Linked DNA regions of Lytechinus pictus. The protein of the gene in region 3 binds, or shares a complex with, the protein of the main gene of each other region. Links are inferred from orthologs where the notes say so. Each region holds a gene or a part of one and is shown on either strand. Other genes may lie near its edges.

What was found. The genes of interacting proteins can lie anywhere in the genome.
Region 1: structural maintenance of chromosomes protein 5-like (region 3) and non-structural maintenance of chromosomes element 3 homolog share a complex: the UniProt entries of both Homo sapiens proteins name them as parts of the SMC5-SMC6 complex. The link is inferred for Lytechinus pictus from reciprocal best matches to the Homo sapiens genes SMC5 and NSMCE3.
Region 2: structural maintenance of chromosomes protein 5-like (region 3) and non-structural maintenance of chromosomes element 1 homolog share a complex: the UniProt entries of both Homo sapiens proteins name them as parts of the SMC5-SMC6 complex. The link is inferred for Lytechinus pictus from reciprocal best matches to the Homo sapiens genes SMC5 and NSMCE1.

Annotation. Positions count from the first base shown.
Region 1 is NC_087247.1:43,388,268-43,395,396, reverse strand, and holds the start of non-structural maintenance of chromosomes element 3 homolog, read left to right. Parts: upstream 1-4,103; 5' UTR 4,104-4,476; intron 4,477-4,503; exon of another isoform or gene 4,504-4,608; intron 4,609-7,129. Other genes in the region: NADH dehydrogenase [ubiquinone] 1 alpha subcomplex assembly factor 3-like, read right to left, coding at 1,774-1,865. UniProt on the Homo sapiens protein: Component of the SMC5-SMC6 complex, a complex involved in repair of DNA double-strand breaks by homologous recombination. The complex may promote sister chromatid homologous recombination by recruiting the SMC1-SMC3 cohesin complex to double-strand breaks.
Region 2 is NC_087261.1:31,457,235-31,465,212, reverse strand, and holds the start of non-structural maintenance of chromosomes element 1 homolog, read left to right. Parts: upstream 1-4,952; 5' UTR 4,953-5,067; intron 5,068-7,978. UniProt on the Homo sapiens protein: RING-type zinc finger-containing E3 ubiquitin ligase that assembles with melanoma antigen protein (MAGE) to catalyze the direct transfer of ubiquitin from E2 ubiquitin-conjugating enzyme to a specific substrate.
Region 3 is NC_087249.1:22,656,807-22,664,145, forward strand, and holds the start of structural maintenance of chromosomes protein 5-like, read left to right. Parts: upstream 1-4,328; 5' UTR 4,329-5,336; coding exon 5,337-5,435; intron 5,436-7,241; coding exon 7,242-7,339. UniProt on the Homo sapiens protein: Core component of the SMC5-SMC6 complex, a complex involved in repair of DNA double-strand breaks by homologous recombination.

The DNA of each region.
Region 1 (7,129 bases), on a different chromosome or scaffold from region 3:
TCCTCAAGAAGTGTCAAGATTATTATCTGTATCAGTACTTAATTTATTATCTAAATTTTGAATATCTTTTAATAGCTGTTTCTTTACATTTTTTTTCTTTCTTGTTGCGTGTACAATAATCTATACAAGTACCAGTAATTGTGCACTTAAGAGTCCCATAAAATATTAGGGTTACATTCACTTTCTGAATGAGTTTGATGCGCAAGATTTGCAATGGACCGACCACACACTGATTCCTATATACCCCCTTCAAACTTTGTTTGGCGGAGGTATAATGCACTTTTCAATTATATTCCTGGCCCTGGGGGTCCCGGGACATAGCCGGGAATGTATAAGACTGTCCCTGGCCCACAATTTGAAACAAAATTTTGACAAACTTTACAAAATGGTCCCTTTTTTTTATACGCACTGTAGTTGCCGGTTCGACATATGATAGTTCTTATTTTATCCAAAAGATATTGAAATTTACCGTCATTTTGATATTAATTTTCTTAAACCCGGGCAATTGAATTTGAGAAATGCTTGCCCACACATCATTTCTAGTTGCCTCAGGCAAGCAGGTTTGTTGCACCCTGAGGACAAATTCTAAAGAATAGATCAATTAATGCAAGATAAATAAACGAATGAATGAATGGATAAACGAGGAAATATCTAAACATGAATAAATAATTTCATAAGTAAACACCTACAAAAGGCTACATGCAAGATTTATATCTAGATCTGAACTGGGTTCCAAAAGAATGATTTATATGTGTGAGGAACTCGATGCTGGCTCTAAATCACCAATTTTGAGGCTAACTGAAGGATGGATATGGTCTTATGGAGTGAAATCAGGATGGAAAGTAAGAAATTAAGCTTCTGATTTCTGGAATGGAACTAGACCAAAAGCTTCGGTCTCTGTTATGTTGGTTGTTCCGCTGAACTCCGTTGGCTCCACTCACCAAATACAGAGACCGAAGTTCTAGCTCAATCTGTACAGGGGACTCATGACAATGGCCATATGTTTATGTATTTAGTTTGGATAAAACAGGGAAGTGAAGTTGCGCGACAGCCGAAGTAAGTCACTGTTTTTTCCCCTTTTAAGTTTATTTTCCCCGTTTGGTGCATTTCAGGCCAAAACGGAATAATAATCTTGACTTTATTTTGGTACAGTTCTTTTTATATATTTTTATGAAATAAAGGCAAAAATCGATGAGCCCCGTCGGGGGGATTTTGCATTGTTAATCCCCTAATGGTGGCTGCACGATAGCGAGCCATCTGTGTATGAGGAGAAATAAAAAATAATAAAAATGTTAAAAAACTCCTCGAAACAGACGGCTGACAGCTGTCTAGAATGGAACCTGCACAAACATCAAGTTAAGACTTTTTGTAACGAGTCACAGACACAGGAATCAGGATGATTTTATAAATAAGACTGAGGATGAAAAAAATGTATTTGCAAATAAATATACCAATAAATGATTTAAAAAGACAACAAAAGACATCAGCAACATCAGCGCCTCAATCAAGCACACATGTCTTCCTTCAGTTAGGTGGCCACGCCAATTATATTATCGCGGTATGCAATTTCTGATCTACGCAAGTGAGCGGGTGATATCATCTTTCTGTGATAAATGTGTTCGAATTGTACATGGGCTAACTAACGTCATGGTCAATGAACAAAAATGTGGAAATAAATGTATTTACTCTTTCCTCCCGCTCCCGACTTTTCTACCAGCAAACAAGCAAATGATGGGGCCCAATATCAAACTTCAATACGAAATTGCAAATCACCTTTTGCCAGACGACAAGCTGGAAAGAAACTTCCAGTGGAAGAGCGCAGTCTTTTCGAGACTTCTGAACCCAGAGACAAAACTAGATGCCATGTTTAATGTTTAGCTGTCGAGTATACACCACAATACTATACCCATACTCGGAGATTGTTATGCAACGTCGATCAGGCGCGCGCGCGGGCCGCGCATAGGTGTGCTGCTCTGCGTTCTCATGTCAATTACCGGTATTCATTTTCTTTCTTTCTTTCATGTGCCTTGAAAATGTATCCACTAACAAAGTTAGATAAACAAGTCGCCGATGATTTTTTTCTTTGTTCTCCTGATCACTTCATAATCTTAATTTGTAAATATTAGTCAATTAAGTTGTTTATGCGATGCATAGTTTGTATGTTGATGATTTATTAATAAAAACATGACATGTTTATGTCGTAAAATATGAAAGTCATATTTAAGAGGTAAACAATCAAGTGGAATGACTATCTGCTGTCTCACCTGCATCACGCGATATAGTAGCAGTGCTGACTTTGAAAACTAATATAATTATTCACAAAAAACACCATTCATATATAATGATACAATACTATATACGATCATTGACATTTGAACTTGATCATGTGACCTAAAACTTGTCAGTGCACTTGATTACCCCTATATCCACATTTTATACATTATATGACAGCAAATATAGTAAGTTACCTCTAAAATAGCCAAAGTTCAATGACCTTAAATGACCTTTGACTTTGCGGTCATGTGACCTGAAACTCGCACAAGATGTTCAGTGATACATGGTTATACTCTTATATCCACGTTTTGAACTAGACCAACAGGCCTACACTTACAGAGAATTCAACAAATACGTCCAACATGGCCAAAGTTCATTGACCTTAAATGACCTTTGACCTTGGTCATGTGACCTGAAACTCGGACGGGATGTTCAAAGATACCTGATTACTCTCATGGCCAAGTTTCATGAATCAGATCCATATAAACTTTATTATGATGGTAATTCAACAGATACTAGCCAAAATTCATTGACCTTTGACGTTGGTCATGTGACCTGAAATTCGCACAGGATGTTCAGTGATACTTGATTACTCTTATGTCCAAGTTTTATGAACTAGACCAATAAACTTTCAAAGTTATGATGGTAATTCAACAAATTCCCCCATTATGGCCAAAGTTCATTGACCCTAAATGACCTTTGACCTTAATCATGTGACCTGAAACTTGCACATGGATGTTCAGTGATACTTGATTATATACTATTATGTCCAAGTTTCATGAATCAGATCCATAAACTTTCAAAGTTACGGATGGAAATTCAACAGATAGGCCTATATATAGGCCTACCCCCAATTTGGCCAAAGTTCATTGACCCTTAATGACCTTTGACCTTGGTCATGTGACGTGACACTCAATGATCAGGATCGATGTTCAGTAATACTTGATTAACTTATGTCCAAGTTTCATGAACTATAGGTCCATATATTTTCTAAGTTATCATGACGTTTAAAAAAATTAACCTTAGGTTAAGATTATGATGACATTTCAAAAACTTAACCTTAGTTTAAGATTTTGATGTTGATTCCCCCAACATGGTCTAAGTTCATTGACCCTAAATTACCTTTGACCTTAGTCATGTGACCTGAAACTCAGGCAAAATGTTCAGTAATACTTGATTAACCTTATGGCCAAGTTTCATGAACTAGGTCCATATACTTTCTAAGTTATGCTGTCATTTCAAAAACTAAAAATTATAGATTAAGATTTGGTGTTGACGCCGCCGCCTAAAGCGGCGCCTATAGTCTCACTCTGCTATGCAGGTGCCCGGTGCATGCAGGTGAGACAAAAATTGGGCGAGGCCTAGCTATATGACGTCAATTTAAAAAAAAATGCCCAAGTGGCACCCGTCGGATTCTTGAATTAGACACCATACACTACAACTTTCAGCAAAAAATTGTATATATACCGTACCCATAGAGATATATCTCTATGACCATACCCAACTTGACGGTTTTGCAATAATTTTGATCATATCTACCCGACTGTAATCTGGGCATTCTAGAAAGTACATTTTTTTCATAATGAAAACTAATATAATGCGAGCGCGAAGCACGAGCTGAAAATATTTGATATTCTGATCTGAAAAAGGGTTAATTTAAGCACTATTTCAAGCACTGTATAGGGAAATTCTGAAGGGGGAGTGTTCATACAAAACGTTCATTTTTATTAAATTTCTGTCATTTATCATACCTATCAGATTTCCAGGGGGTGCTGTCTATGGAAAATAACACACGTTTTGTATGACAATAAATTCCCGTTGTAATCGGCTTTCCATACTCGAGCTTCTCTCGATCTCGCGCGCTACCTCGAATTTTTCTCCAACTATCCACCGCGCCAGCGCCAGGTAAGGGGGGTTTTTCTCCGGCACACGCCGGGCCGGCCGGGGACGCAGGCTGGCAGCTAGCCCGCACCGTGCACCGTGTCCGTGACTGCATGCGCAAGTGCCACAACCAAGACACTTCTCTCTAGTCTCGATCTCCACTAGCATCTCAACTGTTCTATTCAATCAAAGTACTCTGACTCTGACCTGAAACCACCAAGGCGCAAGTCTTCATGAAACCATCTCTAACAGTACCGGTACGGTACCGTAATTAGTTTGTGCTGATCTTACACTTGGCCTTACTTTTCGCTCATTGAATTTGTAAGTTTTCTTCTATTTTTTTAACAGCAACTTTGTCTTGACTTTGCTTTGGCCTTTGGCTTGGGCCTGGCTTTGGACTGGCCGGGAAATCGGGCGCCCCTACGACTTTACGTTAATGATTTCAGTGCATGGGTGAGTGGACAATGAAATGTTTACTTAGTTTTAATGGATATGAGGTTCCGATGTTCAGGATGTTCGGATACTTAAAAATAAATTAAATTATAAATAAAGCCAAGGCGCAATTCGTTTGCCCTTGCTTGTCTGACTTTAACCCAGAGAGCTCCCGCCCGCACAGCGGGCAGGAGCCCAGAAGCTTACCGTGTATTTTACCATTGTCACCGGACTAGGGTGATTTATGGTCTAAATATTTCTCCAAATGAATTGTGAAAACAGAAAGTATACAATTACCATGATTATATGGATGAAGGTCTAACGAGTGGCAGATTCCTGACATCTGGGCACAGTCTGGAACCTCAAAAAAACGAAAAGTTCTCTCCTTCTACCCCGTCTCGATCGGCCATTTTTGTTAAAAATCGTAACAAAATGGCCGATCGAGACTGGGTAGAAGGAGAGAACTTTTCGTTTTTTTGAGGTTCCAGACTGTGCCCAGATGTCAGGAATCTGCCACTCGTTAGACCTTCATCCATATAATCGTGGTAATTGTATACTTTCCGTTTTCACAATTCATTTGGAGAAATATTTAGACCATAAATCACCCTAGTCCGGTGACAATGGTAAAATACACGGTAAGCTTCTGGGCTCCCGCCCGCTACGCGGGCGGGAGCTCTCTGGGTTAGTCTGACTTAAGACGATATCTAGAAAATTGGTGGCCCCGGCCCGGGGCCTGTCTCGCCCTCGGGTAGGAAAGAAATTAATTAGATGTAAACATCCCTAACAACCTCGGGCCACCTTGAGAGGTAGGTCTAGTCACGGCCAGGCCCGGCCCTGGGCCTGCCCTGGTCCACCGATTTGTAGATGGTAAACACAAATCTACCTCGAACCTGTCTCAGTCCATTTGCCAGCTGTCGCAAATTACGTCAAAGCGCAAAAATTTCCAGGTTCAAAAGAGAGGAAAAGTGTGACAAGCAAGAAGAAGAAAAAAAAAGAAATTAAAGAGAAAGCAGGAGGGGGAGAAGAAAAGGAAGAAGAAGAGAAATAAGGAAGAGAAGAAGAAGATGAAGAAGGACACAAAGAAGAAAAAAGGAGAAAGAGAGGAAAAAAGAAGAGAAAGGAGAAGAGGAAGAAGGGCAGAAGAAGAATTAGAAAAAAGATAGTAACAAGAGGAGAAAGAAGAAGAAAAAAGAACAAGGGAAGAAGGAGAATAAGAGGGGGAAGGAGAAGAAGAGGATAAAAGAAGAAGAGAAAGGAGAAGAAGAAGAATAAAGATAGGAGGAAGAAGAATAAAAGAAGAAGGGAAGAAAAAGTAGAAGGGGAAACAAGATGAGAAAGAAGAAGAGAAAAAGAAGAAGAGGAAGAAGGAGAATAAGAGGGGGAAGGAGAAGAAGAGGATAAAAGAAGAAGAGAAAGGAGAAGAAGAATAAAGATAGGAGGAAGAAGAATAAAAGAAGAAGGGAAGAAAAAGTAGAAGAGGAAACAAGAAGAGAAAGAAGAAGATGAAAAAGAAGGAGAAGAAGAAAGAAGAGGAAGGAGAATAAGAGGGGGAAGGAGAAGAAGGGAAAAAGAGAAGAGGAAGGAGAAGTCTTAAAAACAAAACCCTTGACAAGCATTCGTATCTGCGCGATTCTAATAAAAGATACGCAACGAGCACGAACTTTATGAATTTAGGGCATTTCATGTGACGGCCTCAAAATGCAGCCTTTCTCATCAAAATCCCCGAATCGTGTGCAAAGTGAATGCGTGCGCAGACATGGGGTATCATTTTTTTTCAATCTGAAAATGACTGCCCAAGGTTTTTTCAAGAAAATCCTATATTTTCTTTCATTTTTTAATGAGAAATTTGGTACATTTACTCTTAATAATGTAAGGAACATTATTAATTGAAAGATTTTGTGAAATAAGAAGAAATTCATGTTAAATCTTAACTCAAATTGTTAGGTGCGCAGACTTGGGGCCCACCATCATACATGTATGGCAAGTTCCCCCAAGTCTGCGCACACGCGTATCTGCGCGATTCTAGTAAAAGAAGATACGCAACGAACACAAACTTTACACATGCAATACATAGAAAGATATTCATTAAAGAATCCAACTCAAAATGGTGGAAAAATAATGAATTTGGGGCATTCCATGTGACGGCCTTGAAATGCAGCCTTTCCCATCAAAATCCTCATATTGTGTGCAAAGTGAATTGGTGCGCAGATATGGGTACCATTTTCTTTTTCAATCTGAAAATGAGTGCCCAAGGTCTTTTCCAAGAAAATCCAAGATTTCTTCCAAATTTTTATGAGATATTTTGTACACTTACTCATAATAATATAAGAAACATCTGAAAGATTTTGTGTAATAAAAAATAATTATGGTAAATCTTAACTCAAATTGTTAGGTTCGCAGACTTGGGTACCACCATCATACAGTGATAGTTAAACAGCCCAGCATTCCTCTTTTAGCATGTGTATACACATTTGAGTTACAATTACATCAGAGAAGCAAATCAACAAACAAACAACTAATGGAGTGATGAGAAAGTTTGCAA
Region 2 (7,978 bases), on a different chromosome or scaffold from region 3:
GCAAGACCGATCGCAACGGCTTACAACATTGCACTACCGTTGTATGCGACCGTTCCCCTCGCAATCCCCCGTGCAACACTCGCATGTGATCGCACGAGCACAATAGGATCATAAGCGACTTACTCGTGCAACGGGTTTTACTGGTTGGTTTTGTTGTACGACAGCTGTTGCAACTGTGAAAGCCTCTGTGCGATCTTATGAGATGACTGGCGATTGATGCCTGTTGCAGCCTGTCGCACGACCAAAAGGTCGCAAATGATCGTACGTCAATTGTGAAAGGGGCTTAATAGGGGATCTTTCTACATTAATAATGCGAGCACAAAGCGCAAGCAGACAATTTTTGATATTGTGATCTGAAACTGGATAATGATTTGAATAGAGAACAAGTTGAATATCTGAATAAACATGCGCGTGTTTCAGATTTAGACCTAGAATCTAGGCATTCTACACCTCTTTTATCATGAAAAATCTAAAAAAGAGTCCATTTCAGCTATATATTTCAAGCACTTTGTAGGAAAATTGTGAGGTGGATATGGATCGCACTTAATAAAGAGCTGATAGTTTTTATTGTTAATTGAGTTTTGACATAGGACCGGGACATCCTTGGGACATGTCATATGAAAATGATGACTATCTTCCTATTCCTCTTGCTAAGCGCGAGATGAAACAAAAGAGACAACTTAATCGTTAAATTATTAATATCTTATTTATTAATGCCTAATGAGGGTGAGAAATCTGATGATATTATGGCCTGAAAACTGGACATTTCAAGCAATTTTGTAATTATGAATAGAATGCATCAGTCAAAATATTTTTTAACCATGAATGCGAGCGCAAATTGCGAGCCAATATCTTTGATAAACTGTCATGAAAATCAAAATTGAGACATACATAAATCGCCAATTAAAATGCGAGCGAGTAGCCAGCGCTATCTGATACGTTTTGACAATCAGACTTGATTTTTTTTCAAATTAAATGGAATACACAAAAATAAAAGGTACTTAATAAATCGAAATTTGCGAGCGCTCAGTGCGAGCAGAAAATTTCAATATTCAGACCATGAAGCTGTCACTTTTACAGAGCACTTTTTAAAAATCAGTTTGTAAATCACACAAAATAATGAAAGTTCGATTTCCGAGGTGAAATGTGTAATGTATATTGACTTCCAAACTTGATATTTAAGCTACATATTGAAAAATCACCTGACAGGCAATGCGAGCGCGAAGCGCGAGCGAAAATTTCATATAGTGACATGAAAGATTCTTTTTATTTTCCAAGTCTTCCCCTAATCTTATTTTAGTCACTTTGGAAAATTTGACAAGCCCCCCCCCCCCCAAAAAAAAAAAGGTTTTTACCCAAAAACGTAAGGTCATTTAGTCCAAAATACATGTAATATTTCGAATGTGAATGATGCATTTTTCTCCATCATAAAAGACCAAAAATAGTAGGGGGGACATTTGATATTGTGTCCCCCCTACTATTTTCGGTAGGGGGACACTTCCCCCCTGTCCCCCCTGGGATTTCCGCCCATGTGCGCGACCAAAAAAACACGTAAAAGGATGTCTTTTTCAAGATAGGGCACGTTACGTACGTAACGTGATAAGGGTGTCAAAACACAAAAATAATGAAAAAAGGGTATCTATTTCGCTAGGAAAGCTACGTGTTTAGGGTCTAATTTTGGGGGATGATAAAACAAAATTAAAATGCTGCATAAAGGATGTCCTTTTTGCCCCTACACGTCGTGTTAAGAGTCCCGATTTGCGTGAGGTGAGGAAGGTGGGGGCCGTACTAAAACAAATGTTGTGTAAATTACCCGGGGGGGGGGGGGCACTTCCATTGACGAGTGGATACCATGCGCGACCATGGGTCTCGAAAAGCACCCTAAACACGTAATTTCCATATTCTGAAAATGCATCCCTTAATAAGTATTGGCGTGTGAAACCCTACCCTTAACAAGTATTGGAAACAAAACGATACTCTTGGCAAATATTTCCTGAAATGAACCCTTAAACATGTACAGGAATGTTTTTTTGTTTTGTCACGGGTCCTTCGGACGTCAGTTTTACTTTGTATGTACTGTACATCATTTGGTTTAGTACGACCCCACCTTCTACATCACGCGCAAATCGGACTCTAAACACGTAGTGTTGGGGCAAAAACTAAAGGACATCCTTTATAAAACATTTTAATTTCGTTTTATCATCCCCGCAATTTTGACCATAAACACGTAATTTTCATAGCAAAATAGATACCCTTTTTTCATTATTTTTGTGTTTTTGACACCCTTATCACGTTACGTACGTAACGTGCCCTATCTTGAAAAAGACATCATTTTTACGTGTTTTTTTTGGTCGCGCATGGTATCCACTCGTCAATGTAAGTGGCCCCCCGGGGGTAAATTAGGTAAAACCGACGACCGACGGACCCGTGACACACCAATAAAATATCGCTTTATACTTGTTTAGGGGTTCATTTCAGGGAATACTTGCCAAGAGTATAGTTTTGTTTCCAATACTTGTTAAGGGTAGGGTTTCAGACGCCAATACTTGTTAAGGGGTGCATTTTCAGAACATGGAAAATACGTGTTACCCGTGGTCGCACATGGTATCCACTCGTCAATGGAAGTGCCCCCCCCCCCGGGTTACAGGGTAAGGTAGGTTTTCACTCACACGCCTATACTTGTAAAGTGATGCATTTTCAGAATATGGAAAATACTTGTTTAGGGTGCTTTTCGAAACCCCATGGTCGCGCATGGTATCCATTCGTCATTGGACCCCCCCCCCCCCCGATTCCATCCCAGAAGGAGAAACCAGTTCCACTGGACCAGTAAGACCAGTATAATTTTAACTGGTGACTCTGGAAATTGGAACATCGGTTTACTGGTCTAACTGGTCATACTGGTCCAGTTAAAATTTTACTGGTCCAGTTAAAAATTAAAGTGGTCTTGAATTACTGGAATTTTATACTGGTCTTGTTTCTGGTGGTCTCACTGGTCTTAATAATAATAATAATAATATTTGAAATTTATATAGCGCATAATAGTCAAAAGACTCTCTATGCGCTTTACAAAATATATTCAATAAATAATACATTAAATCTTATCTGAATCATACAATAAACCTAAACCTTAATCCTAAAATACTTAATACAAATTAGAACAAATTAAATCAATACATAAAGTTACATCATTAATGAAATGAAAACTTACAATATTTAACAACATAATATATTTATCATCATAAAATACTATTTTGAAAATAAGTGAGTTTTGAGCATTTATTTAAAGATGGGGAAAGATGGTGCAGTTCTTATATTTAAAGGTAGAGAATTCCAGAGTACAGCGGCAGATAAAGAAAGGGCTCTTTGACCATATGTATTTGTATTTGTGGAGGGAACAGTGAGAAGATGTTGTGAGGATGATCGAAGGTTACGTCTTCACACTGGTATCCAATTTAAGCGGGTCTTTACTGGTATTTTCTCTACTGGTCTGACTGGTCCTCAAACTGGTCGAACTGGATCAATTTAATGTGTGTGTGTGTATTTGAGTTTTGTCAGACGTGTATCAATCAGATATGATTATAAACGTCTGGGACCGACCTTTAACGTCACCATCCGAAAGACGTGACCAGGGATCGAACCTCGAATCTCTGCATCAATTTGTAACTTCCCCACATAGCTTGGATTACAGGCGCACGCCACAACGCCCAGTTACATGCATTTGGTTTGTTATATACCATGGTCAGTGAAATGTGATGGAAAAGATGGTTAGTAAATTAATCTTTCTGCTGTTATTTTAAATGTGATATATGAAATTACACATTTTCATTGTGAATTAGTTCACACACTTATTCAGAAAGTTTTTAAACAACAATGAGTGCCATTGCAAGGATATTCCATTCTAAATCCTGATTTTTCTTTTAAAAACAGGAAATATGCAAATGAGGTAAACCACGTGATCAGCATCATCAGAATTACTGGTATTACTGGTCTTGACCAGTTCAATTTCAAACAATTTTACTGTAGACCAGTTGACTATATCAGAGGAATATATCTTGCTCTTAATCATAATTAAAGGAAATAATTATATTTCAATGATAATGTTAATACTTGATAATTATGATAATGTTAATAATAATAATTACAATATCAATAACAATGATAACAGTAATAAGAATGATAACAACAATGATCATAATAATCATAAAAATAATAATCATGATAATTATAAGAATGATGGTAACAATCGATAACGATAATAACTTTCTCTGAATTTCAAGATTCATTTTCCATAATTCGTCAAATGATCTGACTTGAAATAAAATCATTATTTATCGGACCAGTAACACCAGTTTGATGAAAAACAATTTAACTGGTATTACTTCTTTGCTTCAACTGGAATGCAATTGTTTGAACTGGTGTCCAGTTTATTTTTACTGGTCCAGTTAAAAATCAACTGGTCCAGTAAACATATACTGGAAACCAGTAAAAATCTACTGGAAACCATTTATTGGACCAGTAACACCAGTTTGATGAAAAACAATTTAACTGGTATTACTACTTTGCTTCAACTGGAATGCAATTGTTGGAACTGGTCTCCAGTTTATTTTTACTGGTCCAGTTAAAAATCAACTGGCCCAGTAAAAATATACTGGACACCAGTAAAATTCTACTGGAAACCAGCAAAAATTCTTACTGGTCTTACTGGTTTTTCCTTCTGGGATTTTAAAAGTATTTGTTTTTTACAATAATATCTTGACTATCAATTGGACCTCGTGGTCTTTAAGAAGCTGCATATTCAAAGATAGCATGAAATTCATCACCAATACTGTCACTTTTACACAGAGTGCAATATTTTTCATCATAGCATGTGTCGTTTAAAAAACCAAGGGTCGGCCATGGGGGCGGGGGGGGGGGGAATGCGTCATACATTGGGGGAAATCCCCTTTTCAGATGACGACGGAGATGGCAGCATAAAGTTGTAGGCAGGTTGAACTAGGAGTGGGAATTCGAATTTCGAAACCTTATTTCAAGTCAAGTTATAAATTCAGAGATTTTGAAGATCAATAAGTAAGTAAACAAACTTTGTCGCTGGACTGTAATGTAAAGCTTATTTTAGGTAAGCCCTTTATTGTACCGGTATAGCGTTATTTGGATTTACTATCCTAGTTTATTGAACTTAAGTCACGTTAAGTTAACCATGGCGTGCCATGATAACTCACTGTCACTGACCATGAATGATGACAGTCTTGACGCTGCAGCACCCGCTTCGCGGGCCGAAGCTCCCTGCCGAGCTGCCTGGGCCGTGCTGGGCATGCATTGCTGGGTTAGTCACTTAGTGCGTTATTATAACCTTGTTCGTACTCGTAGGATAAGTGGGTTAGTGTAGAGCTAGGCGCTAGTGTAGTTTCGCACCTCCCCGAATAATGGTTTTCAAACATTTTTTGAAGATACCATAGGCCTAGGCCTACTTTTTATAGAAAAACTCGCTCTAATTCTTGCACTTCCCTAGACACTAGGTCTAGGTGGTACGTACCGTACGCGTACTGACTGCTTATGTGCAGCGCTGAGCTTGATCAAGCGACCGAGTGATTCCGAAATAGGTGTAAAACTTTGTAAAAAAAGTGTCAAAACGGCAAATATTCAACTTCTACTGGACTTTGGAGGCTCAGATGCAAGTATTTTAGGTTGTGAATTATTTAGGGTGAGATTGTACATGTTTGAAAACCATTAAACGGGGAGGTGCGAAACTACACTAGCGCCTAGAGCTAAGTTGTAGCTTGTCGCGGCCCCGGGGGGGGGGGGGGGCACTCAGTATATAATGCATAGTGGGTATGTGCCGCGGAGGGGACCCCCATTTTTACACTCAAATTTCCGTTCCAAGGCATAGCATTTTTGTCTTATTGAGAAAAAGAACAAAGAAAGCCGCTCCAAAGCATAGCATTTTCTTCTTATCGAAAAGCGGCCGCAGAGCGCTGTCCGACCATCGCCTCTGCGCGAGGGCACTTGACGGCCGGGCTGCCAGGCTAGCTGCATCATGCACATCATGCATACGCACTCACACGCTGGCGATCCGTTCCAAGGACCCCCGTTTTCACAAACATTTGTAGTTCCAAAGCCCGTTCCGAGGACCCTCCTTTTTACAATAAGCCCGCTCCAAGGCCCCCGTTTTTTGTCTCGCCCGCGGCACACCCCTACCACTTTTTTGGTCGAGTGCCCCCCCCCCCCCCCCCCCCCCCCCGGGGTCGCGGCAGATCCGGTGCCTGGCCTGGCAGCACTCTTAGTCCTACTCGATACTCCTACCTAGCCTGGAGGCGTCTGGGGAGTAAAAGTCATCTACTCTAGTCTCTACGTAGACCAAAAGATTCGGTCTCTGTTATGTTGGTTGTTCAGCTGAACTCCATTGCCATTGGCTTCACTCACCAAATACAGAGACCGAAGTTCTAGCGCGATCTGTACAGGGGATCAATGGCCATATGTTTATGTGTATTAAGTTCGGATAAAACAGGGCAGTGAAGTTGCGCGACAGCCGAGGTAAGTCACTGTTTTTGTTCCTTTTAACTTGATTTTCCCCGTTTTTTGGCAATTAATGGCTAGAGGGAATATTAATTTGCATTTCGGTCGCGTTAATTTTCAAAAGTTTGATTCATTAAAGACAAAAATTGAAGAGCCCCGACGGGGGGATTTTGCATTGTAAGTCCCCTAATGGTGGCTGCACGATAGCGAGCCGTCTGTGTATGAGGAGAAATTTTAAAAATAAAAAAATGTTAAAAAAACTCCTCGAAACAGACGGCTGCCAGCTGTCTAGTCTCTACGTAGTCTTAGTAGTAGAGTAGATGACTTTTACTCCCCACTGACGCCTGGTTCGCTTACGCATTGGTCTATTCACACTGTAGGTTTTCCCACGGTAAAAGTAGAGCTAAATTATTTGGTAAGGATAACTAAGTTTTCCCCCCAAATTTAATATGTTTGTATATATTCCTTCAATAAATAGTAGGATGGGGGGTTCGGGTGTCCGGACACTATATTTTTGAAGCCCTTCTTTTTTGTCTTTGGATTACACTAAAAAATATGAATTCAATACATGTAGTTGTAATTTGTAATCATCTTCTATTTTGTTCTCTATAATATTTCCTAACATTTTGTACCAAAAATTGATGAAACTTCACCTGTAAAATTTTCCAAATGACTTTCTAAAATTGATCGTCCGGACACACAACCTGTCCGGACACACAACAACTGGGTGTATAATATGAAAAATAATTAAGACGAGCACGAGCGTTGACTTACCAAGTCTGTTTTGGTCGCCATCTTGATGTCTTTGTTATTGATACCTAGATACCACACGTGTGTATAGCTGCCAATTTGAATTTTAAAAATACTTGACTCGGCCGATAAATATCATGAATCGTAAAATACTTGCCTCGGTTGATAAATATCATAATGCAGCGCGAGGATAGCCGGGTAGAGTGCTCAACAGTTGGGAGCGGAACATTATTATTTTTTTTGTTTCTTAACATTAGGAGTGGGCTATACATGGGTCAAAAATACTTTTTTTGTAATTTCAATATGACAACAGTTTTTTTTTATTCCTTGTAATGTATCTCAACATGAAATGATAATATTTTTTGTCTCGAGTCCGAGAAAAAAGTGTGCCGGGCCAAAATCCAAAATGGCCGCCAAACCCCCCAAAATCACAGTTTTGGCCACAACTTCTTTATTTGGTGGTCTTTTTCTCTGGTTTTGGTGTCTATTCATATGTATTTGGGGGCAGGCAATTTGTTTTTCCTATGATTAGTACTTTTAAACCATTATTTGTAGAGTTAAAAGGTAATTATACCTAAATTTTCCAATTATTATAGTTTTTTTCAGCCAAAAAGTAGGTTTTATCGTCCTGGGGTTATTGGATATTAGATGGTACGAGGTCAACAATAGAAAGCAGCTTCATATAGCTATATTGCTTTTATTCCTCTACTTTGGG
Region 3 (7,339 bases):
TCCAAAATCACAACAAAATGAGAATATTAAATGGCCAAAAAACCCCAGAAAACACGATCTCACTTCGCTACTATCATGACAATTCACACATCGTGACTGCACTCGACATCAGCACACTCGATTGTACCCGTACCCCGCACCGTACCCGTACCCGGCCGGCCAGGTTGGGCTTCACATGCACACATGTATCGTTCAACTACATGTACACAGTTGTGTGTTGCTGCCCTCTACGTTTGAAGATGTAACAGCACGATATCGTGGTCTTAAAATCCAAGATGGCGGATTGGGAAAAGACGTTGACTGATGATAACGATGTCCAAAAACCCCCAAAATTATCGATGAAATATCATTTCACCGTGAAATAATGCTAATAATATGAAAGGTGAGGATGTATGCATGCAAAATGGGTGTGTTAAAATATTTTATTCACCCGCATAGATCCGATTAGAACGGATTTTATTGTGTTGTTGGTACAGTAGCAGATACAAATTTTGACCAGTGCGAGTGTGCATGTAAATGTGTAAACGGAATTGTCACTTTTCCGTGTGTACAAAGTCTATGGGGAAACGGAATTTCCGTTTTCTGACATGCTGAAACGGAATTTGAGATTTTCTGAAACGGAAAATCACTGTCCCTATACATTACATGATATATATTTCAAATAAGATAAGCTCTGGATATGAAACTTACCAAACGATATGAAGCCAATTTCATTTCCTCTCTGTCTTTCTGGTACTTTATATCAATAATTTTTCTTGATGTCGAAGAAGGCATGAAGCTAATTCGCTAGTTTTCTCTATACGCACAGAGAGGGCGCGCGATATTATTTAATAAACTTGCTTGTTTACGTCAGATCAGCTGTAGCCTACTGCTAGTTGCGTTCTAGGCGCTCCGCATTTTTTTCGCTGTTCAGCGTTATTTTATGATGTAGCACCATCAGCGATTACACGTGAGATGCAACCTGTTGATTTTTTGGTACAATTTCCTATTATGTGCCGACGACTTGAATCTAGACTGTTCGATAGGAAAAATTCGCATTTTTGTTGTTTGATTGTTGTTTGCGTAATTTCCACCGCAGTATTAAGGAACGAATACCCGAAAGTCCCAGGCCTAAACAGTTTAAACATGCACAACTCAGTGACATGCAAATGAGAAGGTTGATGATGTCCATCACTCACTATTTCTTTTGTTTTTTATTGTTTGAATTATACAATATTTCAAATTTTACCAATTTGACATAAAGGACCAACTTAACTGAACCATATTAATGTTATAACAATGGTAATACCACATGTTCAGGGAGGAATAAAACTTTGTTTCACAGGACATAATGGAGAAAATAAGAATATTCCATATTTGATATAATAAAATACAAAAGAAATAGTGAGTGGATGATGTCATCAGTCCCCTCATCTGCATACTGACCAGGATGTGCATATAACTGTTATGTGAATTAAGCGAAACTTTAAAATGTCATAACTTATTTTAAATCCGATTTAGATGAAATTTTCAGTGTCATGCTAGTTGGATTTTTCTCCTTATCAAATTAACTTTTTGTTGGGGTGGACTTGTCCTTTAATCTTTTTATTTTAGAAAAAAAATAGGCGTACCTTTAAAATCCAATGTCAAGTATCCTGGGGCCCGTTTCTCAACACATGGACAAGTTAGTCATATTTTTATCCACCAACCACGGAGTTAGTTCCAATCTTACTAAAACTGTTTCTCGAAAGGCTTCCTTACTAGAATACCTTGATATCGATACTATCGGTAAAAAGAGCAGACGAGACGTAGCCTTAGTCACAAAATAGCACAATTTTCAAAAACAAAAATTATGACAAAATTGCAAATATTATGATGAATTGAGAAATAAATCTTTTCAAAATAATAGCACAGGTGAATTATGCATCATACATGCTTACACCATGAAGACTGGAGCATTCAATTGCAGAGAAAATTAAATTATGAATAATTCATTTCATGACTAAAAAATCACTTGTGGACGTTGAGATGGGTACCCCCGGGATACCCAATTTTAATAGTTTACGAAAGTAAACCATAACGGTTTTCTTTGTAAAATAATGATAATTATACGGACTTTTACGATTTCAAACGTCATCAAAATACAGATTAACGAAACATTTTTAATCATTGATACCGAAAGATACGCCGTCGGTGTCGGCGTCGTCGTCGTCGTCAACAATTGTGTTGTACACCCAATAACTTTCTATAGCTTCGAGGTGGGATCACCAAATTCATACCAGAGGTCCATCTCCTGAAGGCACAGGTCAAGTTCGAATATGAGTCAAATTGGAATATGGTCAAAGGTCAATGAACTTTCCATGACTGGCACTGTGATGTGTTGTACACATAATAACTTTGTACACCCAATAACTTTCTATAGCTTCGAGGTGGGATCACCAAATTCATAACAGAGGTCCATCTCCTGAAGGCACAGGTCAAGTTTGAATATGAGTCAAATTGGAAGAAGGTCAAAGGTCAATGAACTTTCCATGACTGGCACTGTGCTGTGTTGTACACATGATAACTTTCTATATCTTCGAGGTGGGATCACCAAATTCATACCAGAGGTCCATCTCCTGAAGGCACAGGTCAAGTTCGAATATGAGTCGAATTTGAATAAGGTCAAAGGTCAATGAACTTTCCATGACTGGCACTGTGCTGTGTTGTACACATAATAACTTTCTATATCTTCGAGGTGGGATCACCAAATTCATACCAGAGGTCCATCTCCTGAAGGCACAGGTCAAGTTTGAATATGAGTCGAATTTGAATAAGGTCAAAGGTCAATGAACTTTCCATGACTGGCACTGTGCTGTGTTGTACACATAATAACTTTCTATATCTTCGAGGTGGGATCACCAAATTCATACCAGAGGTCCATCTCCTGAAGGCACAGGTCAAGTTTGAATATGAGTCGAATTTGAATAAGGTCAAAGGTCAATGAACTTTCCATGACTGGCACTGTGCTGTGTTGTACACATAATAACTTTCTATATCTTCGAGGTGGGATCACCAAATTCATACCAGAGGTCCATCTCCTGAAGGCACAGGTCAAGTTTGAATATGAGTCGAATTTGAATAATGTCAAAGGTCAATGAACTTTCCATGACTGGCACTGTGCTGTGTTGTACACACAATAACTTTCTATAGCTTCGAGGTGGGATCGCCAAATTCATTCAAGAGGTCCATCTCTTGAAGGTGCAGGCCAAGTTCAAATGTGAGCCGAATTTGAATAAGGTCAAAGGTCAATGAACTTTCCATGACTGGCACTGCTGTGCTGTACACACAATAACTTTCTATATCTTCGAGTTAGGATTGCCAAATTCATACAAGAGGTCCATCTTTTGAAGGTGCAGGTCAAGTTCAAATGTGAGTTGAATTTGATTAAGGTCAAAGGTCAATGAACTTTCCATGACTGGCACTGTGCTTTGTTGTACACATAATAACTTTTTATATCTTCGAGGTAGGATTGCCAAATTCAAACAAGAGGTCCATCTCTTGAAGGTGCAGGTCAAGTTCGAATGTGAGTTGAATTTGATTAAGGTCAAAGGTCAATGAACTTTCCATGACTGGCACTGCTGTGTTGTACACACAATAACTTTCTATAGCTTCGAGGTGGGATCGCCAAACTCGTAACAGAGGTCCATCTAAGTCATATAGCATACATGTAGTTTTGACATGCAGTCTCTTCATGACTGCAATATGTAGGCAAGACAACGCTTGGCGTTTGCCTTGTTATAGTTTCTTTGTAGTACAATTATCATTGAATGCATTAACCCACTTGTTTTGTGATGTAATTTCAACCTCTATGATTGATTACGTAAGATTATAATTTTAAAATTTCTAGGCACTTTCGCATGTCATAGTCTACCCACGTGATGCCACTACGTCATTAAGAAAGAAGTTATGACAGGTTCGGAGGTGTCATAAATATTTAGTAAGATTGTTGTACCCGATCTTGGTAAAGAGGGCTGCGTGAAACGGTTAGCGGACAAGTAGCTCACTATGTCTGATTTAGTCAAGAAGTTAGACTTACGACGGTGTTGAGTAACGGGCCCCTGTGTGTAATGCCTCGTTCTAACACTACTGTTAGTATCCATAATCGATTATGACATTAGATGGTAAAGTTACTCCAAAAAATTAAAGAATTCAATTTAGATCTACCTTACTTTTAGCTAAATGAAAAACACTAATGGAAACTGACCACTCATTCAGTGAATAAGATTAGGTCTAACCTTGTTATCTGTTACTACTCCCTGTGTGGTGAAATAAGATTGGCAATGTTTGTCTGATTTTCTCTTGTTCTTGGGGACAAATGCTTAATTTTTATAACACAATCAGTTTCTTTACAACTATTCATCATATAACTTGTGTCTTAAGAGTGAATTTAATTCTTTTCATTATTTTTTCTAAATTATAAACAAGAGATTGTAAAATGACAATTATCTTGTAATTCTATTTTCCACCAATAGAGGGCCCTCGGTTAATATGCCCCAAAATTCAAATGTTTTAGTGCTCTGGTGAATACAAAAATGATCCCCAACTTATTAATGAAAAATGAACTGCAACTATGGAAAAAAAATTTTGGTTTTTTAAAAAGTGATATTTTTAATGATTTTTTTTAATGTTGTGTTGTATACTGCATAGATCTACTTGTAGATTCCCCACAGATGAAAAACTAATGGAAACTGACCACTCATTCAGTGAACAAGGTTAGGTCTATAACATTGTTCTCTGTTACTAGTCCCTGTGTGGTGAAACAAGAATGGCAATGTTTGTCTGATTTTCTCTTGTTCTTGGGGACAAAGTCAACGAACAAGAAAGAAAAGTAAGCCAAGCATTGCCAAAATTTCACTAAACACAGGGATTCCTAGTAACAAAGAACAAGGTTACATGTATATCTAGCAGCCATTCGCTCTCGCATTATGTCCGGACCCCCTGTCGAATGAAGACAATCCGCTAGCCTGTGATTGACTGACTTCTGTGCAAATTCAGTGCTGTTAAGTTTTTCTTTGCTTTGTTTTTTTATTTGTCATTTTTTAGACAATCCTAAATTTGTGAAAAAGTTTGCGAACTTGGAACAAAACCACAGATTTCTTTATTTTTAGCACATGTTTTTGGCAACCCTGCTTAGAATAGTTGACTTTGATATTTTGAGCTCTTCTAGCTGTTTATAAAAATGGCTGGCTGGTGATTATGAGTGTCAACAAGAAAATCTATATATAAAGTATATAAAGTAACATATCTTGTTCTCATTTTGTTTTCTCTATAGGACCTATGACTGCTGTGAGGTGTATCCAGGTCCCCATTTGAACATGATCATGGGTCCTAATGGTACGGGTAAATCCACCATAGTGTGTGCCATGTGCCTCGGTCTCAACGGCAACACTAATCTTCTCGGCAGAGCCAAGGATGTGAGTTTTCTTTCCAGGCTTGGTGGGTCTTTGTCCAAGCTGTGTATGGAGATTGAGTTGGTCGGGGATCCATAAAGAAGTTACATTACATCTAAAACTTGGTTTTTCTTTGTCTTGGTGATTCATTTTCAACAGGGAAGTGGAACATTCATTATGCACTTCATAGCCTGAAAAACTGTGCATACAAACATTTGTCATTACAGTGATGTCATTTTGAGGGATGCATTTTTAGTTTGACTGAGCAACTTGGGACTTTCAATTTATTTTAGCGTTCCCTCTGTGCAAAAGTGTGAGAGCTCTTTCAATTTCTGCTCTTTTCAATATTTTATCATTTTTTAGCTCTCTTTTTTTGTGATCACTCACACCTCTGGTTATACATGAAGAGCCAGTATAGTGTAATCGGTATATGACAGTAAAGGAAACACTACTGACCACCCAATGCTGAAGTTGGTGGCTGATGCCTTTTTGTCTCGTCCACCAGAGGTGAAGGCGAGACTTACGGATCCAAATGTCGTCCGTCCGTCACAAACCTTATGACACCTAACTCCACAACCATAAGTCACTTTTCAACCAAACTTGGATGTTAGATGGACTTGGGGGACCTGCATGTTAATGCTGTTGTCGGAGGTCACATGGTAAGGTCAAAGGTCATTTTCAGGTCAACGTTAAAGATTAAATGCAAGACTCTCTTATGACACCTAACTCCGCAACCGTGAGTCACTTTTCAACCAAACTTGGATGGTAGATGGACTGGGGGGACCTGCATGTTATGCTGCAGTTGGAGGTCAAATGGCAAGGTCAAAGGTCATTTTCAGGTCAACGTTAAAATTTACATGCAAGACTCTCTTATGACACCTAACTCCGCAACCATAAGTCACTTATCAACCAAACTTGGATGGTAGATGGACTTGGGGGACCTGCATGTTATGCTGCAGTCCGAGGTCACATGTTAAGGTTAAAGGTCATTTTCAGGTCAACGTTAAAGGTACATGCAAGACTCTTCCGACACCTAACTCCGCAACGGCAAGTCACCTTTCACCAAAACTTGGATTGTCGATGTAGTTATGGGACCTGCATGTCATGCTACAGTCGGAGGTCACATGATAAGGTCAAAGGTCATTTTCAGGTCAACGTTAAAGTTTCTGTGCAAGACTCTCTTATGACACATAACTCTGCAACCGTAAATCACTTTTCAACCAAACTTGGATGGTAGATGTACTTAGGGGACCTGCATGCTATTGTGTTGGGAGGTCACATGGTATGGTCAAAGTTCATTTTGAGGTCAACATTAAAGTTTATGTGCAAGACTCTTTTGACAAGTGTTATTCCATCCCAGTCATTTCACAATGAAGTTTTGATACAATTCTGTTGCATGCCCTCGCAAATCACAATATTTCTGGTTATTTTCATAAGTGGGCGAGACACGACATTGCTTTTGCCTTCTTACTGTATTTAAGTAAGAAACCGTGGATGTTGGTAAGATAAGACAGATGACTTCAGGTCCTCTCTGAGGGGCAGTTAATGTTTCCTCCTTCCTGTTAATATATTCATGCTGTGATCAGTGAGAACCCCTATGTGAGATTACTAACAAAGTCATAATAATTTTTTGAAGAGCCATTTTTTGCATTTTATAAACTTACTGCAGTATTAAACAGTACTTAGAAAATGCCAGTGTTGGAGCTCAGGTAATAATGTTTACTTATTAAAAATAAGTAACACCTTAAGAAAAGAGATTTTGGTCCTTTCTTTCTCAACACAGATAATGTTGGCTTGATTTATTTTTCTTTAAACATCTTTTCATTGCAGCTTGGTGAGTTTGTGAAGAGAGGGACCAACAGGGCAGAAATTGAGATAGAGTTGTACAACTCTAAGGGTCGTAACCACGTTATCAGACGGGAGATTCA